Linked DNA regions of Drosophila melanogaster. The protein of the gene in region 2 interacts with the protein of the main gene of each other region in a pairwise test. Each region holds a gene or a part of one and is shown on either strand. Other genes may lie near its edges.

What was found.
Region 1: the proteins of cher (region 2) and lqfR interact in a two-hybrid assay, tested with the Drosophila melanogaster proteins (one large-scale study listed by BioGRID).
Region 3: the proteins of cher (region 2) and NC2alpha interact in a two-hybrid assay, tested with the Drosophila melanogaster proteins (one large-scale study listed by BioGRID).

Annotation. Positions count from the first base shown.
Region 1 is NT_033777.3:22,407,920-22,418,180, reverse strand, and holds lqfR (liquid facets-Related), read right to left. Parts: upstream 6,881-10,261; 5' UTR 6,597-6,880; coding exon 6,544-6,596; intron 5,533-6,543; coding exon 5,331-5,532; intron 5,272-5,330; coding exon 4,902-5,271; intron 4,821-4,901; coding exon 4,724-4,820; intron 4,662-4,723; coding exon 3,904-4,661; intron 3,639-3,903; coding exon 871-3,638; 3' UTR 379-870; downstream 1-378. Other genes in the region: CG13850 (uncharacterized protein), read left to right, coding at 7,518-7,695, 7,759-8,469, 8,533-8,782, 8,844-9,118, 9,172-9,241, 9,301-9,511; CG13855 (uncharacterized protein), read right to left, coding at 9,661-9,925, 9,982-10,166, 10,232-10,261.
Region 2 is NT_033777.3:17,121,163-17,128,231, reverse strand, and holds the start of cher (cheerio), read left to right. Parts: upstream 1-2,842; 5' UTR 2,843-2,993; coding exon 2,994-3,019; intron 3,020-3,445; exon of another isoform or gene 3,446-3,473; coding exon of another isoform or gene 3,474-3,743; exon of another isoform or gene 3,744-3,755; intron 3,756-5,549; exon of another isoform or gene 5,550-5,819; coding exon of another isoform or gene 5,820-5,834; intron 5,835-6,144; exon of another isoform or gene 6,145-6,453; coding exon of another isoform or gene 6,454-6,639; exon of another isoform or gene 6,640-6,655; intron 6,656-7,069. Other genes in the region: CG31269 (uncharacterized protein), read right to left, coding at 141-236, 376-1,101; CG17477 (uncharacterized protein), read left to right, coding at 1,302-2,105; CG45079 (uncharacterized protein), read right to left, coding at 3,474-3,743; CG42779 (uncharacterized protein), read right to left, coding at 6,454-6,639. UniProt on the Drosophila melanogaster protein: Involved in the germline ring canal formation. May tether actin microfilament within the ovarian ring canal to the cell membrane. Contributes to actin microfilaments organization.
Region 3 is NT_033778.4:21,666,913-21,672,973, reverse strand, and holds NC2alpha (negative cofactor 2alpha), read right to left. Parts: upstream 2,823-6,061; 5' UTR 2,728-2,822; coding exon 2,686-2,727; intron 2,479-2,685; coding exon 1,495-2,478; 3' UTR 1,381-1,494; downstream 1-1,380. Other genes in the region: CG15676 (uncharacterized protein), read right to left, coding at 697-1,245; CG42381 (uncharacterized protein), read left to right, coding at 3,156-3,219, 3,281-3,437, 3,494-3,503; CG42379 (uncharacterized protein), read left to right, coding at 3,503-3,757; CG42380 (uncharacterized protein), read left to right, coding at 3,766-3,963; PIG-M (phosphatidylinositol glycan anchor biosynthesis class M), read left to right, coding at 3,986-5,386; CG42365 (uncharacterized protein), read right to left, coding at 5,476-6,061.

The sequences.
Region 1 (10,261 bases), 5.3 Mb from region 2:
TATTATTGGTCACCGACATGGGCTGGAGCAGATTATTGCCCGTGACGGCGGGAATGGGAGGCATCATATTGTCTGGAAAAAAACAAATGCAATAATAATGTTATTCGGGGTTTCAGTTTTCGTTTTTATTTTGGTTTCACAAAAAGCTGTTTTAAATATGTGGCTTCGATAGAATTGCGAATGCGGCTACTTGGTGATCGGCTAATGAGGTGGTCACTACTCGGAAGCGTTTGCGCAGCAAATCAAGTGCAATTACAGAAGGAAAGAATAGGTTCGTATCTGTTATGTGGCTATTGCCGTTTTGGATTGGTTTACCTAATGAGTCCGTGGCTGCGGAGGCCGCACAATGCCCGGAATATTGAGAAATGCTTTTCAATTCATCATTATTAAGTACATATGTATGTATATATTTGAGAAATAATATTGGATCCAATGTGTGTGTGGTTTGCAATACAAATATGCAGTAGGAGAAAAACAAATAAACAAAAGAAAGTAGTATAAATGAAGTAAATCCATATATGTATACCTGGAATACAATGGCTTCGAGGGCGATAGATATTTAAAAAATAATTCCTAGAACTGTTGTCTTATTTCTAGCAAATACCTAACTCTCGAGTCTATTATTAGTTTATACAATTATAAGAAAATGTTTAAGGACACAGCGTTAACGTTTGTATGAGAATTGATGTAAAGTATGAAGTAATCTTGTATTTAATCATATATATCATATATTAATTCGGAAATATTTCAGTAAAAAATTGTTCGTTTTTCCGTAACAAGAAATATGCTTAGTGTATTTTAAATACAGTTTTAATATTTTAAATCTCTTAAAACTCTATAGGCTGCTTTCAAAACTTTTTGATGGCCAAGTTAGGCAGCCTGTTCCATGGCGGCTGTATCAAAGAGTTTGTAGCAGGTGTCCAAAATGCTTTGGGCCAGTTCACGACACTCCTCCGAAGTCTCTCCGCCCACCAATGGCGATCTTATGAAGTCATTCAGCCAGCGCTGCAGTTCGTTCAATGACTCCGCAAAGTGCTGGGCCAGCACATGAGCTGGTGTGGTTACCAAGGCGATTCCTATTAGCTGCAATGTGGCCGCTCGGACGCGGGCCTCGGCATTGAAACGCACAAAGGCGCATAGGTCAAAGATCTCGCGGGTCATCGCTGGCAACAGTGGACAGTTCTGGGAGCACATAACCAACACGGACATGGTGTTTAGCAGGTTAACAAGCAACTGGGTGTCGATGTCGTGAGAAATATTTTCGTATTTTACGTAAAGCATCTGACGGGTGCGCTGTCCCCTCACCAAACTGAAGAAAAATGTACCGGCAACGGGGTGAAATGGGTTGGCCTTCTCCATTTGATCTCCAGCTTTGGGCTTGCTGAAATATCTCTTCGTCTTGGCCCGCAGCCGGTCGCGGATGATCCTTTGCGCAGCGGCCAGACGAGCGGCCGGACTCTCCTCCTCCTGTTGAAATTCGAACTTTCGGGGATGCTTGGCTGCCGGTGGTATAACATCCACAATTTCCATCTCATTCTGCATGTTTTCATCGCCAGAAAGTTCTTTCGCCGTTGCTGCCAGTACCTGAAGGATCAGAATACGGACACTGGCCGAATAGAAGGAGTTATCCGTGTGGAACTGGCGGCATAGGTACTCGGCACAGGGACCAGGATGAGCCACACAAATGGCCACGCAACACTTAAATTGCGTACGTTCGAATTGCTCATAGTAGAACTGCATTTCCATGACCAAGAAAAGTTGTAGCAGATCCAAGGCCAACTGAGTATCATGTTTGGCCAGCTGACCCCGTATAAGTTGCTCCGCTGTGCCCAAGGCTCCTTCGAACACCTGATAATTCTCCACCTTTTCTCGGAGCAAGTGCAGTAAGTCGATGACGAATTTGGGACGTTGATCAATGGTGGTGGTTGTATCGTTGGACATGTCATAGGGTTTCAATTCATCGTCGTCTTCATCCAGTGGCTCGTCGTCATCCGAGTCCAGCTGCATGTTTACATTCTGATTTTCGGGAGCGGGATTCGCTTGTATTTCAATATTCGGCTTATGCGGCTCTTTCTGCTCTGTAGTACTCATAAAGTCACTGAGATGAAGTTCTAATTGTTTCAGCTGATCCTCACAAGGCTTCTCATCTAGCTTAGTTTTGCTCGGGCTTTCAAACTGGCCAAGTTCATCAAACTCTTCGAAGATGTGCCAATGAAATGTATCCTTAAATGAATCGTACTCAAATCGTAGACGATCATCCTCCTTCGCATCAGGCAAGGCAATAAAATTGAAAATTAGCTCCACGGTCTTCATTCCCACATGACGCTGCAGTGCATCTGGGGACTGCAAATGGTTGCTGAGTCCATCGTGGAGCTGACGCTGGATGTTCAAATCCATTACAAGATTCCCACAAAGGCATTTTGCCGCCAACACAAGCAATTTGGATATAGCCAAGTGCTCTTGGCTGCCCAGTTTCTGCAAGGAAATGCGCTTCGACCAGATTCCAAGCAACTGATTCAAAAGAACCTGCAGTTGAGCAGGAGCTACGGCGTTAAGATAACTGGCCAATGTTATAAGCTGCTTATTATCCACGGGTGTGCGTTGAAGAGGCAACTTCTGGAGCAGGCAATGCTTCCAATGAGGTGTCTCCAAAGTGGCAGCACCTATAAGAACGTACAGGTTCAATCCCGCAGAAAGAGCCGATTGTGCTGTTTTTAGGCAAGCAGCGGGATCCAATTCTTTTAATATGGTATGAACTACTTTTCTTCCTCTGGGAGCCACCGCGTAGTCCTTAAGTACTCGTAGGAGGCTTTCCAAAGTTGAAACATCGTAAATAAGGTTAATAGCCTGTGACAAAAGCCAGGAGTACGGTTCCAAATCAAAGTATTCCCTATTATCATCGCACTGTAGGACAAAGTGCAAGGATTTCAGCCACTGGCGCAGCAGGAGTTTCTGATAAGAAACTGGAGCAAACGTCTCTGGCAGTCTTCTACCCAGTCGATTGGCCACCTGGGCTGGCAGACTGATTAGCAATTGAAAGAACGCTTTCACCTGGGCATCCAGCTCCTCCACTTTTCTTTCCGGCATAACTTTGATGGTCCGCGCAAAGCGCTGCATTAAGGAAGCTCTCTGGCGGGAGATGTGCAGCAAGGCGATAGAAATTAGGCTCTCATCCTTAACCATGTTTTCCAGTAAGGAACTAATAGTACTGGGAAACTTATCCAATCTAGTCTGAAGCGACTCAAAGGCAACCGATACATAATCAAAGCTGTGATCCAGTTTAAAAATGTTAACGACTTCAACATCCTGCGATGGCTCTGGCCAATCCTGGCTGAATAGCTCTGTCAATTGATTCAGCAATGCGGCATACTCTCCATGGGCAAGACAGGTCCAGTCGCACGTCTGACGATCGAGGCCAACCAACTGCTCAGGTGTGGTAAATCCGGGCAGTGCGTTTGAGTTATGCAGTTCCCCCAAAATAGCTGCTACTTGGGCAACGGCTGAAGCGCTCTGGACCTGCATTAAATCGCGCAGCTGCTTCTGTGCCTTGGAAAAAGCTAGACGCATTGCCTCAGATGGTGGCTGTGGGGAAGCCGACGACATCGAATCATTACTGGATGCCAACTGCTCTTCAACAGCTACGAGAGAGAACGAGAAGAGAACGAGTGCATCCGATTGGAAAATGTTGCCGTTTATATGTGGGAGGATGAGATAGTGTATCTTTGTGTGGGCTGTGGAGCTCGAGGTAGAGATAACGGCTCTAGTCAAGCTCGGAAGGCGCACCTTCATGCAGCGATACCTAAATATATCATGAAGTGACTAAGGCCAATGCAATTACTCTAATCTTAAAACTATTTCAAATTTAATAATATGTTAAGCTACAAGAATCAAACTACAACTCACCCATGGGCATGCTTTGGTGAATGGACAGATCGCCCAGGCCTGCCAGGAGATCTGTAGCCGTTGTGGCTGCTGCCGTCGAGGTGGGAGCTGAATTAAACAGGTCAAACGAATCGTTCGCCGGCGTGGCAGTCTTCAGCAAATTACCGTCCAGCGCAGATGTCGACGTTGTCGAGCCTTGGAACGCCGCAAAGTCGGCGAACTCATCGTTCGCAGCCGGAACCAGGCCCGTTGATGGTGGCTCGCTGATCGTCGATCCCGCCGAGGGCTGCCCGAAAGCAGAGGCGAAGTCGCCGAATTCCTGCTGGCTAGCATCGCTGGCACGCGGATTGAAGTCATCATCGTCATCCACAATCACGGCAGCACTGTTCAGCGTCTTCTCCTGCCCCGGCGGTGGCGAGCAGGTCTTGAACAGATCGTCCAGCAGATCGTTGTTATTGCTTTGCGTATTATTGTTTGCCTTGGAAGTAGACGGCGATGGCGAAGCGCCGCCCATCAAGTCCACGCTGGTGGGAGTGTCACGGTGAGTTGGTGAGTGAATGCCAGCAGCACCGCCAGGAGCTGGCTTTCCAAAGTTTGCTGCCGCACCCAGATCGATCTTCTTCTGGGACAGCGCTGGCTTGGCAGAAGCCGTTGAAGTGGGCTGCTTGGAGACAGGGGAACTGACGGTCTTCGAACGAATGTTCATGTTGAGGCTGGAAGGTTTGGCCTCGCTGGCTACTTCGGCAGGACTCGCACGGTCATTGTATCGATAGTTACGTCTGTGAGGAGAAAAGAGTACATTAGGATATAGAGCAGGTTAATCGGAAAAGTGAAAACTTGCCTTGGACTGGGTGAGTCGCTATCGGATCCCTCTCGCTCTCCATCGTAGTGAGTATCATCATCCTCATACCGATCCTTGTCGGCGCTTTTGTCGGAGTCTGAAGAAAAATCATCAATATTAATATTACATATAGAGAATTTGAACAAAAATCTTAAAAAAATAAAAATTTCTTACTTACACCAATTGTCTCCACGACTAGAGCGATAGTCGCCATCATTGTAGCCACCGCTGCCACCGCCGCCTCCTCCAGATCCACCGCTATAGCCGCTGTAGCCACCGCTTCGCATGCCCATGGCGTCGCTGCTCATGCCGATGTACTTGTCCTTGTTCTTCTTCGCCTTTTTGCGCTCCTCGCGCAAACGATCATCATCCTGAATAAAGTCTATAAGCTCTCGTACCTTATGCCTAACATTAATACCCTGATCCTTGCCGCCCTCGTCGGTGAATGTATAGTTCTCCAGCGAGCGCAGATCGTAGATGTGCTCCCGAGAGGAGGTTACCACCCGTTCAGAGCCGTTTCGCACCAAATAGTTTAGCAGAAGGAGGCTCTGTAAGTAAATATATACTCGTTAGCTCTATATTTATTAGTTTAAACTGAAAACGTTACCTTGTACGTGCGTCGCCAGTTGGTTTTATTGTCCTGCAGCATGCGCTTCCACAGCATGGACATCACCTCCGGGAATGTTTCGTATGAGAAGGTGGAATAGGCCAATTCCTGCATGAGGGGTCCTGTAGGCCCCCAAGGATCATCGTTGGTGGCCTCCCGCACCTTGCCCTCCGTTTCCGTGTAATTCATCACGACATTGGTGCTGCAAGTGGGAACGAAGTCATTGTTTTATTTTAAAGTAACTATTAACTATTCACGATGTTAGTCGTAGAACTTTTGTACATATGTAAATACAAATCTTAATCCGAGCTTGTTTCCTTAAATAATTGATATATACTTAAGTAAAGAAAAAAGGCATATTGACTGGGACATTCCGTAAACTCAATTGAATAGATAATCAAATAGATAGAGGGCCAGTTAATCAGAACTGGTATTTTTAAGTAAACGTTGTGTGACGATATGGATATACAATGCAAAGATGCAGATAAATAAGTAATACGCATGGCTTGGCTGCGACGTTGATAGACGTTCGAAACGTGATGGAAGTGGGCCAATTGTCGCAAATGGGCCATCTAGGTGTTCCTTATCAGTTCGAGATAAGCCCTAGGAAAGGTGTACCCGCGCACTTAACCTAATGAGTTCGGTGTTGGCTATCGAGCCACCATTATTTATTCGAACTATAGGCTCGCTTTTAGAAATAACTACCCCATAAAAGGCGCAGGTGAAAGGGGACACCCATAATTAATAATTCGATGGGGGAAAGAGAAACACCCATTTCACTGGAAAGCCTGGAAGTGGAGCTGTTAACACAGGTGAAAAAATTGTTATATTTGGGCAGTCGAAAGCAAACAAATTGTTTCTTGATAAAGCCCCACACACACAGGCGCATATACACATGGATATCAATATCGGAATGTGGCTGTGTTGGTAAAGCTCTCTTGAAATGGCGAACAACCTTGAAAGCAGTTAAAAACGTGAACCTAATCCAGCACCCCGATGCAGTTGATCCATAAGTAAGATATCTTTATGAATTATTAGGGATTTATGCATGACATAGGGCTTTTGAAATCCTTGAGGAGTTGGGGGCGTGGCGGGAAATCAGAAAACTTGGGGCGTGGGAGTCTTAACATTCACTTCGGCGTTAAGGGAATGTTATACACACATCCCATTACATATACGTATGGATATATCCTATATATTCCTGATCACTTACACCTTGTCCGCCAATTCGCGCACTTTCCACATGCTGATGAATTTATCCACCATTTTGAGACTATTGAATGCTACGGAATTTTTCACACAATCTCGTCGAAAAGTGGCTGGAAAATCCAACTACAACAAGACGTCGAACTCGTTTTCGCTTGGCGTGCCGTTTTCTGACTGTTTTGCAGCTGACGATTTGCACTTTTGCATGGAAACGGCGCACCTGTCTCGCACCCGCGCTTTCCGCAAACAAAAATGTAAAAATTTAAACGAAAATTGTAAAACAAAATCACAGCAGCTAATATTTGGTGAGCTGTCGTGTCCAGTGTTGCAAACAGTGTTTCCAACTCTCACTGTTCAAGTGTAGCTAAATCCGATAAATAGCTGTAGCCGTTATTAATGAAAATTAGCTTTTTAAATTTGTGCTCCAAATAGTTCAATAAAATATTAGTTTTCTTATTAATAAAGCACAAAGAGAAATCGGCATAGTTATAAAATGGGAACCATTTACCAATAACCGAAATAGTTCAATAAAACATTAGTTTTCTTATTAATAAAGCACAAAGAGAAATCGGCATAGTAATAAAATTGGAAGCATTTACCAAATAACCGAAAGCACATGCAATGACACCTAAGTTCCGGAATAAAAAACGCCAGATCTAGCTAGAAAATGCTGAGTTGGCAGCACAGCTCGCAGTGTTACAAAAGCTTTGCATGGAGCCGACGGGTCTTACCCTACACTACCATCAGCTGAACGCTGCTGTCATCTGTGGATTCTCAACGTTCAATAGGAAAGTTTACTAAAATAAATGAAAATACTAAATGAAACGTGAAGGATATCAGGGGAAATAAGACGGTTCAAGTCATGAATATAAGCCTATATCATTGGCATGCTTTGTAAAGCCCCTTCCTGGCCGCTAAAAATGTAAACAAAAAGGTTATGTAAACTTCTGTGGTCTCTTGCAGCGTGTGGATTGACTGAAAATGTTGGGACTACAACGTTTTGCCGGCAGTTTTGTCACCCAGTTGTACCGCCGTGCAGCCTTCAGCAGCAGTGTCCGGGCAGCGGGCATTCCCGTGGCGCCCACTGGAGCACAATCGGATGCAGTGGAGCCGGAAGCACGCGCGCCGGCTGTGGAGGAGGCGGCCAAAAAGCCCAGGGGTAGGTAGATTCTAAAATTGTTGTCCTCCTTACTAATTGGTATTCACTCCATCCTTATTGCAGGCCACATGGTAGCCGCTGCTTTCGAATCCCTTAGAAACGACGATCCCAAAGATGAGAGCAAAAGCCAAGCCTCCAGCAAGATCGATGAGCGTATCATCAACGCAAAGACAGTCAATGGACTGCTAACTATCACGGAGAACAACAATGGCTTCTCGAGGAAGCATGCCCTCAGAATTGTCTCCATACTGGCCGAGTGGAGCACCTTGAATCGAGTAAAGATCTCGGAATTCGAGAACGACACAAGGTTCCTACGTATTTGCCGGATGTTGGGCCGGACGGTTCCCAAAAATAATAATGCTAACAACAAGGACCTTGGTGACAATGGGACGGCCAAGCGGATTTCCGGCTTCCGAACAGATGACCTAAACACGGTGCTTGGCGTAGCTGGTGACGATGAGGCCGCTAAGCTGATAGCTAGCATCAGTCTGCCCCAGATGGTCAAGGTGATGAGCACCCTGGCCCAGCGGAAGAGGCGTAGTACTCCTCTCTTGCGCTCCCTGGCCTTTAATATCAGCAGCGCGTCGGAATCGCTGGATTTAAAGCAAGCGGGGGATGTGCTGTTCGCTATGTCCACGTTGAATTTCCAGGATTCTGTTCTAGGCGCTAAAGTGTGTGCGGATGTGCAATCGGCGCTGCCTAAGAATGTGGAGAAGTCTGCCGTTGTGGGATCCATTATCACCAGCCTGGGCATTTTACGATACCGGGATTTGGGTTAGCTCGGATATAAACACATCAGAAAAAGTTGTGATTAATGTAATTTATTTTTTTCGGTAGATATCTTGGAATCACTTACGCAGTGGCTTTTAAAGAATAGTGAAATCTGTCGCCCCCAAGATCTCAGTGCCTATTTCCTAACATCGGCCCTGCTAAACTTCAAAAGCGCTCAATTGGAGGAAGTGAGCAAAAAGCTAGTAAAGTCTATTGTCCGCGAGGATTTTACCAAGCAATCCGAGTGGTTGAGCTTTGTGTGGTCGCTAACAATGTTGGGTCTAGTAGAACACGGCCACTTGGCTTCTGTTTTGAGGTTTGTTCTTTGAAACGCTTGAAAATCTGGAATTAAAACTTAAATTTGTAATTACTTTCAGTGCGGACTTCCTAGAGACGTTGAAAAAGGACAAAGCTGGTGTCACAGCTACCTCCAAAATGAGGCTACTCAACTTGAATAGCTATGCCCAGTTAATAGCCACAGATTACAAGGGTCCACTATTGCCCACTGACAGTCCTGTCTATCAGGTGCCCATGGCTCATCCTAAAGCAAAGCAAGTGCTTGTAAATGGAATGCTAGATGCCCTGAAAAGTCTGCTGCCGGCCAGCAATCATTTACAAACTGCTGTAGACACTAAAATGGGCTTCCTTATAGGTAAGATATTCCTTGTTAATGTGTACCATATTCCTGATTAACTGTCGTTTCAGATGCACTGTGCCATTTTGATGCTAACAAAAACCCCCTGCCTTTGGACAAGGAAAATCCGAATGCAATAAGGCAAGTTATTACACGTTTTATAAATTAACTTGATTATAATGAATGAAACTTGATTTCAGGGTGGCGCTGATGGTCATCGATTTCCATGACATTTGCCACGGAACGCATCGCAGTGGCAGCGGCGTTACGAATCTGACATTTGATCTGCTAGAGAAGAGTGGTTACCACGTTATTCCCGTGCCCTATAATGAGTTCAGCACCAGTGACAAACTACTGAAACGCGTTCAGTATTTGGAGTCAAAGTTCAAGGCGATTGCAAGTAGCAAATAATTGCAGTTATAGTTTATTTAATTTTTCTTGTAATGATTGATCAATATTTGAATTGTTAAAATTTTGTAAATGTTAAATTAGGCGCTGAATTACAAGCTAAACCCAAATTTCGAAAGGTGAGTTACTGGGAGTCATTTTAACCACATAGTTTAGACGGCATCCAGTTTACTGGAACGTTGCTTGTTCATGCCCACTTTCCACCATTGGCCCGTTTCCTGGAACTCGGTGGCCACAGCAGCTAAGGTGTGGAATAGGCTGCGAGCCAGCATGTGAAGATTACCGATGTGCAGAACGAACTTGGGATCATACACCTTCTCAATGTCATCGATCTTGTAGTGATCTCGCGTCTCCCGTTCCGTCAGGCAAATACAGTTCCACGGTGCCCAGTCATCGCTCTTGTTCCAACGCGGTAATCTGAAATAGATATATTTGACGTTTGATTTTTAAACACTTCATTGTGAAGGGGTTACCTTAGTTCACTGAGATTCTCTGTCTTGCTTAGAGCCGAATGTCCATGCCATATTTTGTCTATGATGTGGCGAACATCATCTGGCTGCATTACAAATGCAAAGGATGTGGTGCACTTGCGTTTCCGCTCATCTCGATGGATGCACCGTAGAATGGACTGGTACACGGTGTTCTCAGTAGCAGTTAGCTATGTGTATGTATGAAAATATTTTCGATTATAATATTTAAAATGTGGAATAAGGAATAACCCACCTTTAGATAGTAACAGTGCTTGCAGGTGTC
Region 2 (7,069 bases):
CAAGTACTGAACACTAAACGTTAACTTCTTCGCTATCAAAACTTTATTAACTGGCCCCTGCTTATCGAGGCAATTTTATCGTTGCCTTATAAATTAGTATTTTTTATGGTGCACTATGATAGTCACAGTAAACGGAACCTTTAGGATTGGTTGGAGCTGAACCCAGTGCACTTTGAATTCCCACTCATGACATTGCGTATCCAATCACGATAGAAATAAACACTGGCATGAACGTCCTGAAAACAGAAAAAAAATTCTGATTCGGTTCTTAGAATCTTTATGTTTTCCAAGAGGCATGGAAAAGTATTCTTATGAAATTCACCTACAAAATTCTGCTGTTCATTGCCTTAACAAAAACGATTTCCGATCACTTACCGGAACTCCTGTTGCGCAGGGCCATCCCCAGTTGACCAGTCCCACCAGGTAACCATTGCTGACCAGAGGTCCACCGGAATCTCCATGGCAGGCACCTTCTCCCAGCCGCGAAAAAGTGCAAATGTGACCCACATCACAATCTTCATCGTTGCTCAGCAGGGCTTTGCACTCGCGATGGGGAACGTACTGAAGGTATAGAACCTGCAAATCGATGGGACTGGTGCCCCAGAGGACCGTGGATCCCCAACCAGTGAGGATTACTTCATCACCCGGCTGCATGGGCACCAAGGGCAACGGGATCGGCTGAGTGCGCTCGTCCCAAGCAATTGGCTCAACTAATTCCAACAGGGCAATATCATTGTGCATCTCCGGATTATCGTAGTTACAATGGATATGAATGGCTTTTAGGAAATACCTGCCTCCTGGTTGGTTATACTTATTAGTGCCCGTGACGACAACCAGCCATGGAATAAAGGCATTTTCGACACAGTGAGCGGCTGTCAGGACGAAGGTCTCGTTTATTATGGCACCACCACAGGAGTGGGCACCGGAGATTCCCTGCAAGGATATCTGATAGGGAGCGAAGCCATCCTCAGCTGCCTGACCACCGATGATCCGTTGATCCTTGTAAAACCGACCATCCGTTGAGTTTCCCTTGATTCGTATGGCTGTTATGGATACGAGTCCCGAAAGACCCAACAAAATAAGTAAAACCACTGCCGACATCTTGTTACTGGCCCTGGTCAGCTAATGAAGTTTTCAGTCGTACTTGCTGCCTTCTTGACCATTTATCGGAATCAGATAAAAAATCAGTTTATGGCGCGATTGTTGGAACCTTTGGTCAGGCCATTTTGACTTTCGTATAGTTCAATCAAAATCGCGAAGGGTAAAACCAGACTAGCTCAGTCCGCGATTGCATTTCAGCCATGTCGCTTGCACGTTTCCTATTTTATATTCTCGTGTTCAGTTCACTCTACTGTGACTTATTGGCATTGGAGCACTTCATTGTGGGTGGCCAGAATGCAGCTGAAGGAGATGCCCCCTACCAGGTGTCGCTCCAAACTCTTTTGGGTAGTCACCTATGCGGTGGTGCCATCATATCGGACCGATGGATAATTACGGCTGGTCACTGTGTCAAAGGATACCCGACTAGCAGACTTCAAGTGGCCACTGGTACAATTCGCTATGCGGAACCAGGAGCTGTTTATTACCCAGACGCCATCTACCTGCACTGCAACTATGACAGTCCCAAGTACCAGAATGATATTGGCCTGCTCCACCTGAACGAGAGCATTACCTTTAACGCACTAACTCAGGCGGTTGAACTACCCACATCCCCTTTTCCAAGAGGAGCTTCGGAGCTGGTTTTCACCGGATGGGGATCTCAGTCAGCGGCGGGGTCGTTGCCATCGCAGTTGCAGCGTGTCCAGCAGCAACACCTCAACTCCCCGGCTTGCGAGTCCATGATGTCTGCCTACGAGGATCTGGAACTGGGACCTTGCCATATTTGTGCTTATCGTCAGGCAAATATTGGAGCCTGCCACGGAGATTCTGGAGGTCCTCTAGTTCACCAGGGCACCCTGGTGGGCATACTCAACTTCTTTGTACCCTGCGCCCAGGGTGTGCCTGATATATTCATGAATATAATGTACTACCGCGACTGGATGCGACAAACGATGAGTGGCAATGGCAAATGTGCACAGGTCAACCAGCAGACAATAGATGGATAAAAACATTTGAACTCATTAAAGAACCTCAATTCATAATGTAATTCCTTAATGCTGTAAATAATTTATTAATTTATTAAGCCATTTAAACATAAGATAATTCCCAAACTGCCAGCCTTGTATCAAATATCACCAAACATGCACCAAAACCGCATAAAACCCGCACCAAAGCCGCACACAAATCGCCACCAAGCCGCCAAGAAGCCGCTAACAAATCGCGTGCAAGTCGAACTGAAAACGAAGGGCAGGATGTATCCTCTACGGGTCACTCGTAAGGGATCATTCTGTACGGGGCATCCTCTATTTTTTTAATTACTTGGGTTGCTGTAGTTCACTTGTTTTTTGGCGGGAGTGGTGAATTATTTTAATGTTTCTGGAGGCAAGTGATATTCTTGGCCCACAGCCAGGAGTCCGTTCAGTCGGACAGCCGGAATGTCTTAGTGATTCAGCCACCCGCCGTTTTCTGATTTATTTCGGAAGAAGAGAAGTGTCGCACTGGTCACACGTGTCGTCCTGATCTAATTGGTAGCAGGTAGACCCAGACAGACGTGGTCTTAGTCATGATTTGAGTTGTGAGAAAAATTTCGACACAAATCGCTCACGGCGCATGGAAATTCTGAAAATATTTCTATCGGCACTCGCTGTTCAGATGGGGGAAAAACAACCGGGAAAACTCTCAGTTGTGGGCTGTATCTTGGCATTTTGAAAAAGATTTTCAGTTGCTGTATTGACTTGGACGTGTGCGGTGCGGGCCTCGAATTTTCTTGGAATACGCGGCGTATACGCAATCCGTGAGCTATATGTAGACGCGTGTCTTGCTCATATTTTTATATATACAGCAATATATAACAAGTGAAATTTCGCAACTTGTGCAAAGTCGAGGAAAAAATTATGTTAAATCCAGTGAAAATGCCAAAGTATGTGAAATAATTTTCCCAATTAAGGCAAAACGACTTTGCAATGTATTTTACATTCTTACCAAGAGCGATGAATATTGCGCTAAAAGTATACGGCCAAAAAAAAACCGTTCGAATAAATATATTACCAAAAATAAAATAGAATATTTTGTGTTATGTGAATTTCAGTTTGAAATATTGCGTACAAGGCGTTGCCATTTCGTGATATATTCAGACGATGAAAGGCCTCTTTGCTGGATCCCAAAGAAAGAGCCATTAAATGTTCAGTTGTGAGAGCGTAAAGTGCATTTATCTGTCGGGCACCAGATGTTAATAGAGCCTCTGATCTTTATTTAGCCTCAATCGCATGCTCTGCCGCACCTGGGGTATCTGCGGGGTATAGTACCTAAGGGGACCCGGCATATGTATTTCCCAAATGATTTATTTAACTAGGCGTACACGTTTAAGTGATTTTTTAATAGAAGACATAAACCTTTTGTGCACCCTTTAGCAGATTTGTGCAGGGTCCTTGGGTTTTTCCATCACATGGAGACCTGGAAGTTGACGAAGCAACAGGTGCAGATGTTGTAGTATCCTCCCAGTAGGGATACGATGTGGTAGAATCTCCGTACGGAACCCAAGATGATGAGTATGGGTCCCAATAATATCCGGATGACGTAGTTGAGTCAGAGCAATAGCAGCCTGCCAAGACGCAAAACAACGCAAAGATCGTTAAGAACCTCATTTTAGCCGGCATTAATACAAACTAATAAACGATAGATACAATTTTATCAATTATATACTTCTTATCTTATTTATTTTCAATTGTTTAAAGAAATAATACCTTAAAACAGTTGGGCAAATGCCAAATATTCAATAAAAAGCCTAATATTTAACTAATATTTATTTTTCATATTCTATTGCCAAATTAATCACCAGCTGTTGTATCTAAAAATTTTGAAATTTTCAGAAGACTTTGTATGATTCATTTGAAAGCCCACTGTGCCATTGTTTATTATATTCCAATTATTTTCTAAATATCCAAGTAACAGTGCCGAATCGGGAAAAGCTAAATAAAGCGTTGGCACGTGAAATTACTTGACGGCAACGGGGCGTATGCGCAACAAGAGATTTTAACAGCCCAAGCAGCTGTTGAATTAATTCAAACGCCATGAATAATGATGGTCAATAAAAATAAAATTTGTTTAAAAGTACACGCGCTGCGCGTTCACACGGAAATTAAATAGGTTTTGAGAAATGTTAGTACAGAGTTGTTATGAATGGTGTTTCATATCTAAGCATAATTAGATCTTAAAATTCTTACTGGTTTTTTGAAGTTCATAAAAATGGTGACTATAGTTTAGTTTTCTTAATTTTATTTTACGGATTGATTTTGGTAGATCACTTAAGACTTCCTAAAACCCCTTTTAAGCGCCATGATAGCACTGAAATCAGATAATCAGAATAAAATTGTTTGATATATTTAGCGTGCTCTTGCTGCGTTTTATCTTCAAACGAGCATAAACATTCAAGCCAAATAAAATCGAGGAATTTATGACAGCTGATTTGGCCGGAGCTAGTTAGTCATCTCACAAGAATAAACAACATACAACTGTACATATGCTTTTCATTTAAGAGTTCTACGGGTTCTACGATCCCCCGATTTGGGATTCTTTATCAGCGCCTCGTGAGTCAAATGACGGGGAAATGCGGAATGTACTTGGGGCGACCGCCAGAGATGGCCAAAAGCCAATCATTTTTGCAGGAGGCACTTTCAATTGTGACCAGCAGCAGAGAAGATTGAAGCAAAAACATAAAACACAAAAGACGGCAACCAGTTCTATGAAAAGAATAACAACAAAATCAGCTGCGCGTCGAAAATCACATTTGTGATGAGTTGCAGGGGGTGGGGGGGGATTGCGGGGCAAGCGGTGGGTGGGGACTGGGGGGTCTCATGTGGTAGCGTCGCCAAAAACCTGCCAAACAGAGTCAAGAGTGCAGTCGACGTCGACTGCGACTGCGACTGCGACGCCGAGTCAACGTCACACGCAATACCAAAAACACAACACAAAACATGAAGCGAGATAAATATTGAACAAATTATGTATTGAAGACCTTTGACAGACGAGGATGCACTTTTAGAAACTTGTGAGAAATGTATTCATTTATTTAATATGATCTGAAAAAAATAAAAATACAAACCACAATTTTATATTTTATACTATAACTATGATATACATAATAATATTGTATTCTAATTTCATTTCCAACTTGAAATAATAATAGAAAAAATCGAAGGCAAACCTTTGTTATCTGTCAACCAGTAGGAGTGTGTAGAAAGTATCTTTTGGAATTATAACCTATAAGCGTTACCTAATATTTGCTTAGGGAGTTACTTAAGATGATCCCCGTCTGTATGATTTATCTGAGAAAATAATAATAAAGAAATTGAGCAATAAGCGGCGAGCATTTGGCTGCATAAAAACTTTGAGCAAGGAGGCGCACACAACTCAGTCGAGTTGAGAAATTGTCGCGGCCAGTACGAGTACGTGTAGCAAAGAACCCGAAAGCAACGCGCGCATTTCGTGCACACATTTTCAAAACCAAAAGAAAGAAATTCTGAAATTTGTTTACGAAAAAAAACGAAGGATTTGCCAGTCGTGTTTGTGTTGTGTTTTTTTAGAGAGAAACGTGCTCGCCACGCCAGGAATTGTGTAATTAGCGGGCCATCAAGTGTTCAGTATTAAGCACCCCCACTAAAGTATTACAACTCGAGATCATTCGACAGCGATCCCTATCAACCAACAGAAAAACCATCGATATGGCGTCCAGAAAAGTGAGTTTTTTTTTTTGTTGTTTTGTGGGCCTAGGGTGGCCCTTATCCGATCGGCAAACGTTGCATTTCACCCACACGATTTTCCACGATATATTCACGACGAAAATGGAGGACATGTGGTTCTCATTACCTGTTCATAAAAACTAAATATTTGTCAATTTATTTTTAGTCCAATGGGCGGTCGAAATTTGCTCACTTGCGCCTTCGCTGTGCAAATGTTGGGTGTAATTTTAGTTTCAAATAAATTCAAATTAATTAAAATGGAAGTGCAAATTTATTTAGCATTTCATTGGCGGCGTTCGTCGACGCTGATTCATGCGATTCCCCAGCGATGCAAGTGGCGCCTCACGTATTCATCGTCACTTGGCCGCCGTTTTTGGCCCGATTTGAAATGTTTATTTCCATATAAGGGTATCCTCAGCCAGACGCACTTGTTCCATATGGCCAGCTGTCCCCGAGCAGCTCCACTTCCTTGTGGAATGTAGTGAAGGTTTCGAGTCCAAAATATACGATTGTTATACGCATTGAACCTTGTAGAAGTGCTATTTAGGTGTTTGAAGTTTTTGGGATTGTTCTATATTTTTATTTTACTCAAAAATATGAATATTTTGAAGCCATATTATTTATAAAAGAAATATAATTTCTTGGCGTCAGCTGATTCACATGGAGTTGCTGTAGTTGTTGCCGGTATTTCAGTTGTACTTGCAGAACCCCAATCAATGTTCTCCGTTGTTGTTGTTGTTGTTGCGGCAATTGCAACAGCTACCATGGTGCACAAAAGGAGGAGGATGGCAAAAAACTTCATGTTGCTAACTTTAAATCGAAACTGATATTTCACTCAACATATTTTGCCCTTATATACGAATAAGACTTCAGAACAATTGTTAACACAAGTGCTTGCAAGATTTGATGGATGAAATGGTGGATGGAGTGATGGATTAGGACAGTTGAGTAAATACTCTAATTTGCCTTTCCAAAAATAAATGTACACGTGGCAAATGTTTAGCACGTGTAAATATACAGTACACGTTTTAACCGGATTGGTTATGATTTTCTTAAACAAGTGCTTTATATTAATTATTTAAAGTATTTTAAATCGTAAGCTGAGTTTATGAGGAACATTAGCATTAGCTAGAGCTTTGTTATTTACCTAACAAATTAATCGTCAACTTATACTCGTTAATTGTAGAGTATAAGGGTATACTAGGTTTGTTTAAAAGTATCTAAAAGCTATA
Region 3 (6,061 bases), on a different chromosome or scaffold from region 2:
GGGCTTGGCTAATCAAAATTCGGGAATAGTGCTGACCCTAATCTAGTGTGCCAAGCCCATGGATGAAAATTCATATAATTCAAAACTGCACCTTTGCTCACTGGGAGCGGTTGGGTAATTTTATTCGCTTGCAATAAGATTTTCCCACGCGATATGTGGCTCATCTGCTGGTCAGTTTTGTCCTTTTGCCATATAATTTGGTATCCTTGGAAGGGAATGGAGTCTACATCATGGGTTGACCCACATCGGGCACAAATTAATATCAATTGTGGCTGGCAGATTGCGTGTGCGAATATGCGGAGGGCTGGAGTAACAGCTGGACGAAGGCATGGGCATGGGATTGAAAGGCATTCAATTGTAATTGGCTGTGACCGAGGATTACACAATGACTAAGCGGTGCTCCCTGGCGAAATTAAGTCATAATTATTATGATGTGTATAGGCTTGTAAATAGCCGAGCTCGGTAATAAAGGTCACATTTTGTAGGGCACAGTCTGGGATCCTACGGTCCCGATACTCTGACCTCTTTACCGGGCTGCTAATAATGTAATTGTAATGAATGAATTAGTGGGGAACTCCAAGGGAGAGCTGTACTTCGTTGGAAATTAAGGCATTTAGACAATAAAGACTTATTTAGAACGAATGTCTTTATAAGCAACTACAAGGTACTAGCAATTTTAAGGATGGTGGGATGCTTCTAGTTCTCCACTTCATGTTTATACAATACGGCTAGGTTCATCTCAATCGTGTTCACCTGATCCTGCAGATAGTCGATATCGTGCTCATGTTGCAATTGCTGCTTCACCAGGCTGGTGATGTCCTTTTTGATGAACTCCTCCGCCTCGGACAGCTCGAATTCCATTTGCAGAGATGCGCCCACTTGAAGGGTAACCTTTTGCACTGGCGGTATGCTCACCCATCTGAATACTCCCTGTGCGATTTGCACGAGGCTGTGAACTTCCTTGTCAGGATTGTCTATGAACCTCCTCACCAATTCCAAATTATTTTTGGCAGCCTCCAAACGGGTTAACACTGCTGTGAGGTCAGTCTCCAACTTGGCAGCCAGTTCGCTGTATTGCACATAGAAAAGGCGTTGCATCTTCAATGCCGCTGGAACAGTCGAATAGAACTCTGGCTTGGCGATGTAGCTGACGACATCGTCAACTAACTTGGCCTCTGGGATGGGCATAAATGACTTTCGGCCGCCCAGAGGCGGCTTTTTTATGGTGTCTATGAATGCAAACATTTTCAATAATTGTTGAACTTGTTTAGTACATCTAATTCAAAGATAAACTGATTTAATATCGTATGCAAATTAAACAGCATTATCTGCTAGAATGTATAAATTTTCTTTCTCTATTTAAAGTACTCCGCATTGCGTCAGCTTAAAATCCAGCATGGTCTTTATTTTGCAAAAAATGTTATTGTGATTTCTTAGACCTAGAGTACATATTAATGTATCAATAATTTAAAAGCGCATTCACATAGATCCTAATCAAATATTGTCATAGTCTTCGTCTAATTCGAAAACGGTTTCAGTGGGGGTCGCTGATGCCGCTGTGGCCTTTGGAATGATGGGAGCGCTGCTCTTTCCAGCCATTTGGTTCACATTATTGTTGTCCCCCGGCGTGGCCGCTGGTAATCCAATAGAGGCGGGGGGCACACCACTGCCAGGTGCTCCACCGGCCACGATATTCGTCAGATCGATATTGATCACCGGAGCAGCTATGTCGAAGTTAAAAGCTCCAGATCCGGCGCCCGATCCTGACCCAGAATCAGAGGCGTCCGGTGTGCACAGGTTCGCCGTCGGCATTTGCACGTGGCTGTAGTCGATCTTGACAATGGGCTTGTTGAGTTCGTAGTTGCAGATCGGGGCGGGTATGGCAGTATCGAGCTGCACCGACTGTTTCTTGAGGTGATTGGGCGGTCTGCCCCGTGGCGTGTAGGCCGGCATGGACCCGGAGCGGGCCAGCTTGGCGGGCAGGGTGGTGCTGGTGGTGGGAGTTTCCTGGGTGGAGTGCTGCGACTGAAACTGCCGCTTGGTGGCTGCGGCTCCTCCGCCCGATCCGGCTCCGTTGTTCAGACTCATGGAGCGCATGTAGGCAGCTGTGCCGTTCGCCTGCGAGCGCATTGACGTCGATGGCAGGCTAAGATCATATGGCGTGTCTGAATCTGGATACTGTTCCTCTGGCGAGCTGCGTAACACATCGTCCTCGTTGTAGGCGGCCTCCTCGGCCACACTGATGTCGGGTATGTTGCGGACCAGCTCCTTGAGGAAGTCAAAGCGTTTCTCGGATACGATACACTGCCTCATGTGCGATGGCGATAGCGTCTTGGCGTTGCGCGCATTCGTGATGCGCAGCGTCTTGGTCAGCAGCGACTCCACGAAGAGCTCCAGCGTGCGTGAGATGATAACAGGCACCGCCTGGGCCACCTTCCCGATTTCCTCGTCGCTTTGCATGATCTTCTTGATGCGACCCTGCAAGGAGTTTATGGTAATGGTTTGGAAACATTATAATCTCGCACCGGTTTGGTTTCTCCTCTACTTCTTTTGAGCCTCTGATTATGCGAGGCGTGTATGTACATATGTATGTACACATGCACGAAAACTGATAACCCATCTTCGGCGTTCACGGCCGCCAAATGGCTGGAGCTTTCCTGTCGCCAATCGGTGGTTTCAACTTACCGCCGGAAAGCGTGCGTTGTATTTTTTCTTTTTCGATGGCATTTTCCGATTTGTGAAGTAATCGTCAAGAGTCCTAGTGAAATAAAACAAATGTGTGTGTGTTTTTCACACAAGAACAGTTCCTTGGTGCCCAACTGTCGGCGTCGATGGGTGAATGGCAGTTGCTCTCGCAGCAGGCGGGGTATTCACAGGGAAGCAAAAGGTATTAATATCAAAATTTGAAAGATTAAAAATTTTTGTACATTATAAGAGATGTTATTTCTTTTTGTTGTTATTTATGTGATTGTTTTTTATTTTGCTTTGATGTATTAGGTTTCCTACACAGCTGACCGTCGCGCAGTCTGGCTACCTTGATCGTGCACTGTGAATGACTACAACCGCCAAGAAGAAGAAGAGTGCAGAACACTTCCAAGTACTTTTCACATATTGCAAGAGCGATTTAATATCGTAAGAATTCTGGGCAGGATTACATGTCTGACACTCGCAAGGATCCCTGCAAACCGAACGCCTGCCGCATACAAGCCTGTCTGACCAGTAAGCACCGCCGGTGACTCCATTTTCATGGTTATGTAAGCTGACTTGCACTCGGTTACAGAGAATCACTACCAGGAGGACAAGTGCTTGGATGTCCTTGAGGCAATGCGCCAGTGCTGTTTAAAGTGGCACAAGGAATCGCTTTGCTGCAGTGGAATCGATTTGGAGAAGACTTATCTACCAGACGCATCCAAGGAAAAGAACGCAACCGGCAAGTCGTGAGTTGTAGCCAACTTCTCTATTCCATATACACTATTATCAACTCGTTTTGCAGGAACAAATAATGTCCATACCGCAGTATAGGCCTCCGAAGGAAATTCAAGACTTGCTGGACCAAAAGGAGCAACAGCAAGCAAATCAGCGCAGGCGAACCGCTGTGCTACCCAAACGCACGTGGATTCAGCGAAATCCACGCCTGTTCCAGATCTCCTTCATCACAGGCTCACTTCTGATCTTCTTCTCCAAGCCCCTGTTTGACTGCTTTATCGCCGATCCCCTACCACCGCCGGAGAACAAAGTTCCGCCTCACAAGCGCTAAGCTAAGGCATGGAATCGGTGCGCAAAGCCAACCAAAGAATCCGCAACTATCCAGTTCTGCTAAGCAAGTGCGCGGACAAAGCCACTGCGTATGCGGTTTGCGTGTCGCGTGATCTAAACGTGCAGCACAAAATCTGCGACACCGAGTTCAAGGAGTTCCTAAGCTGTATCCGCAAGACCGCTTTGGAAATGAAGACCAAGCTTTAGACAAACGTAAACAATAAACACGATGACTCAAACAAAGGCTGCGACCACTGGATGGCAGCGACTGGGTCGCCGCATCCTTTACACTAGCTTTCGGACCCATCTACTAATATCCGCCCTGCTGCGAATAGCTTTAATTTGCTACGGACAATTACACGACAGTCAGTCCGCCGTGCCCTACACCGATATAGACTACAAGGTGGTGACTGATGGAGCCCGTCAAGTTCTGGCTGGGGACACACCCTTCGCCAGGCATACTTACCGATATAGCCCAATCATGGCATATCTGCAGACTTTTAACATCCTGCTTCATCCGGCGTGGGGTAAACTACTGTATGCGACATTCGATCTTCTCATCGCCACACTTATTTACCGTCTGGTGCACATGGAAATCAAGAGTCAGTACCAGAAGACCGTACAACACCTGCTTAGCAAGTTCAACAGGCCACGGGACTCGGACCAATCGCTGGATGCCCTGGATGAGCGAAGTCATCCAGAGAACTTGGCCCGCGCCTCTGCTTGCTTTTGGTTATACAACCCGCTGACGGCTGTAATATCCACACGTGGAAGCGGCGATTGCTTCTCAAGCTTCTTCGTGATACTAACTATATACCTGCTGTTAAAATCTGAGCACAATGTCACCAGGAGTTACTGGCTTATATTCGGAGCGGGCTTGGCTCACGGTCTAGTGATACACCTCCGTCTGTATCCGTTGCTATTCAGTTTGGCATACTATTTATCGCTATCAACGCGGCTGACACAAACTCCCCTCGACTTCCTGTGCCAAATCCTGCGGCCCAACAAGCAACAACTGTGCCTGATAAGTGGAACATTGATCAGCCTAGTGGCCTTCACTTGGACCTTCTACACAATGTACGGTTGGGAATATATATATGAAGCGTACCTGTACCACTTCGTACGCAAGGACCCGCGACACAACTTCTCGCTGCAGTTCCTTCTACAGTACCTGGGCAGTGCGTCGAGTGTGGCGGAACCTTCTGCGATCCTGAAGACTCTAGTGCTGGCTCCGCAGTTCCTGCTCATCCTCTACTTAAGCTTGAGCTTCGGTCAGTTCCGCCAGACGCTGCCATTCTGCATCTTTGCCGTGGCCTTTGTCATCGTCACCTATAACTCGGTGGTAACCTCTCAGTACTTCATTTGGTACTTGGCCATTCTGCCGCTCTGTTTGAACAACTTCAAGATGCTGTCGTGGAGAAGGTGCTTCGGTCTCCTGTTCCTCTGGCTGCTTGCCCAGGCGCTGTGGTTGCTGCCGGCCTATTTGCTGGAGTTCCACACATGGAACACCTTCTACTGGATTGGACTGCAAGGAGCCGTATTCTTCGCCACCAACGGATACATTTTGGAGCAGCTGTTGAGTCATTACGGGTTCACACAATTTAAGATAAGCTACAGAAAGTTACTGTAATCAAACAATCCGCAAAGCAGAGATTTAATATAAAAAATAAACACAAGATATCACAATTCGTACTGGCACTTAAAATCGAATGTAGTTAGTTAGCACTTCGTTGAGCTCAGAAACTTAATGTAATTAAATAGTCTTTCGTGCTCCTCGATACGCAAAGCGTAAACTCGATTAGATATACCCCAGACATCACTGCGTCCGACCATGTCAGTCTCGAAAACGTTGCCCAGCTTGTTCCACTGTACATCTGTGAACTTCTTTTGAACCCGACGGTACAGTGCTCGTGCACAGACTGTTTCCACGGATATATTATTGGTGTATATGAATTCCTTGCGATTCTCGTACAACTTCCTGGTGTGCGCGTAGTCGCTTCCCAGCTCCTTTTCAGTCGTGATGAACATGTGATAGACGCGCTTTCGACTCTCCGGCTTCTCGAGGCACAGGAAGCAAAGGTACTGTGTGCCGTCGGCTGGATTAAACTTCGGTGGAGCTGCAGGCGGAGCATTGGTCTTCAGTAGAATCCTGCTTAATATCGCTGGAAATGTGTGCGGATTCACTTTGGGTGCTTCCAAGACAGCCGGCGGCTTCTTTTTGCCCCTAATACGGGGTGTATTCCATTCTGACTTGACCCTTCCGGATATATTGAGCACAGGTGCCGCTGATGAATCACTTTTGTTT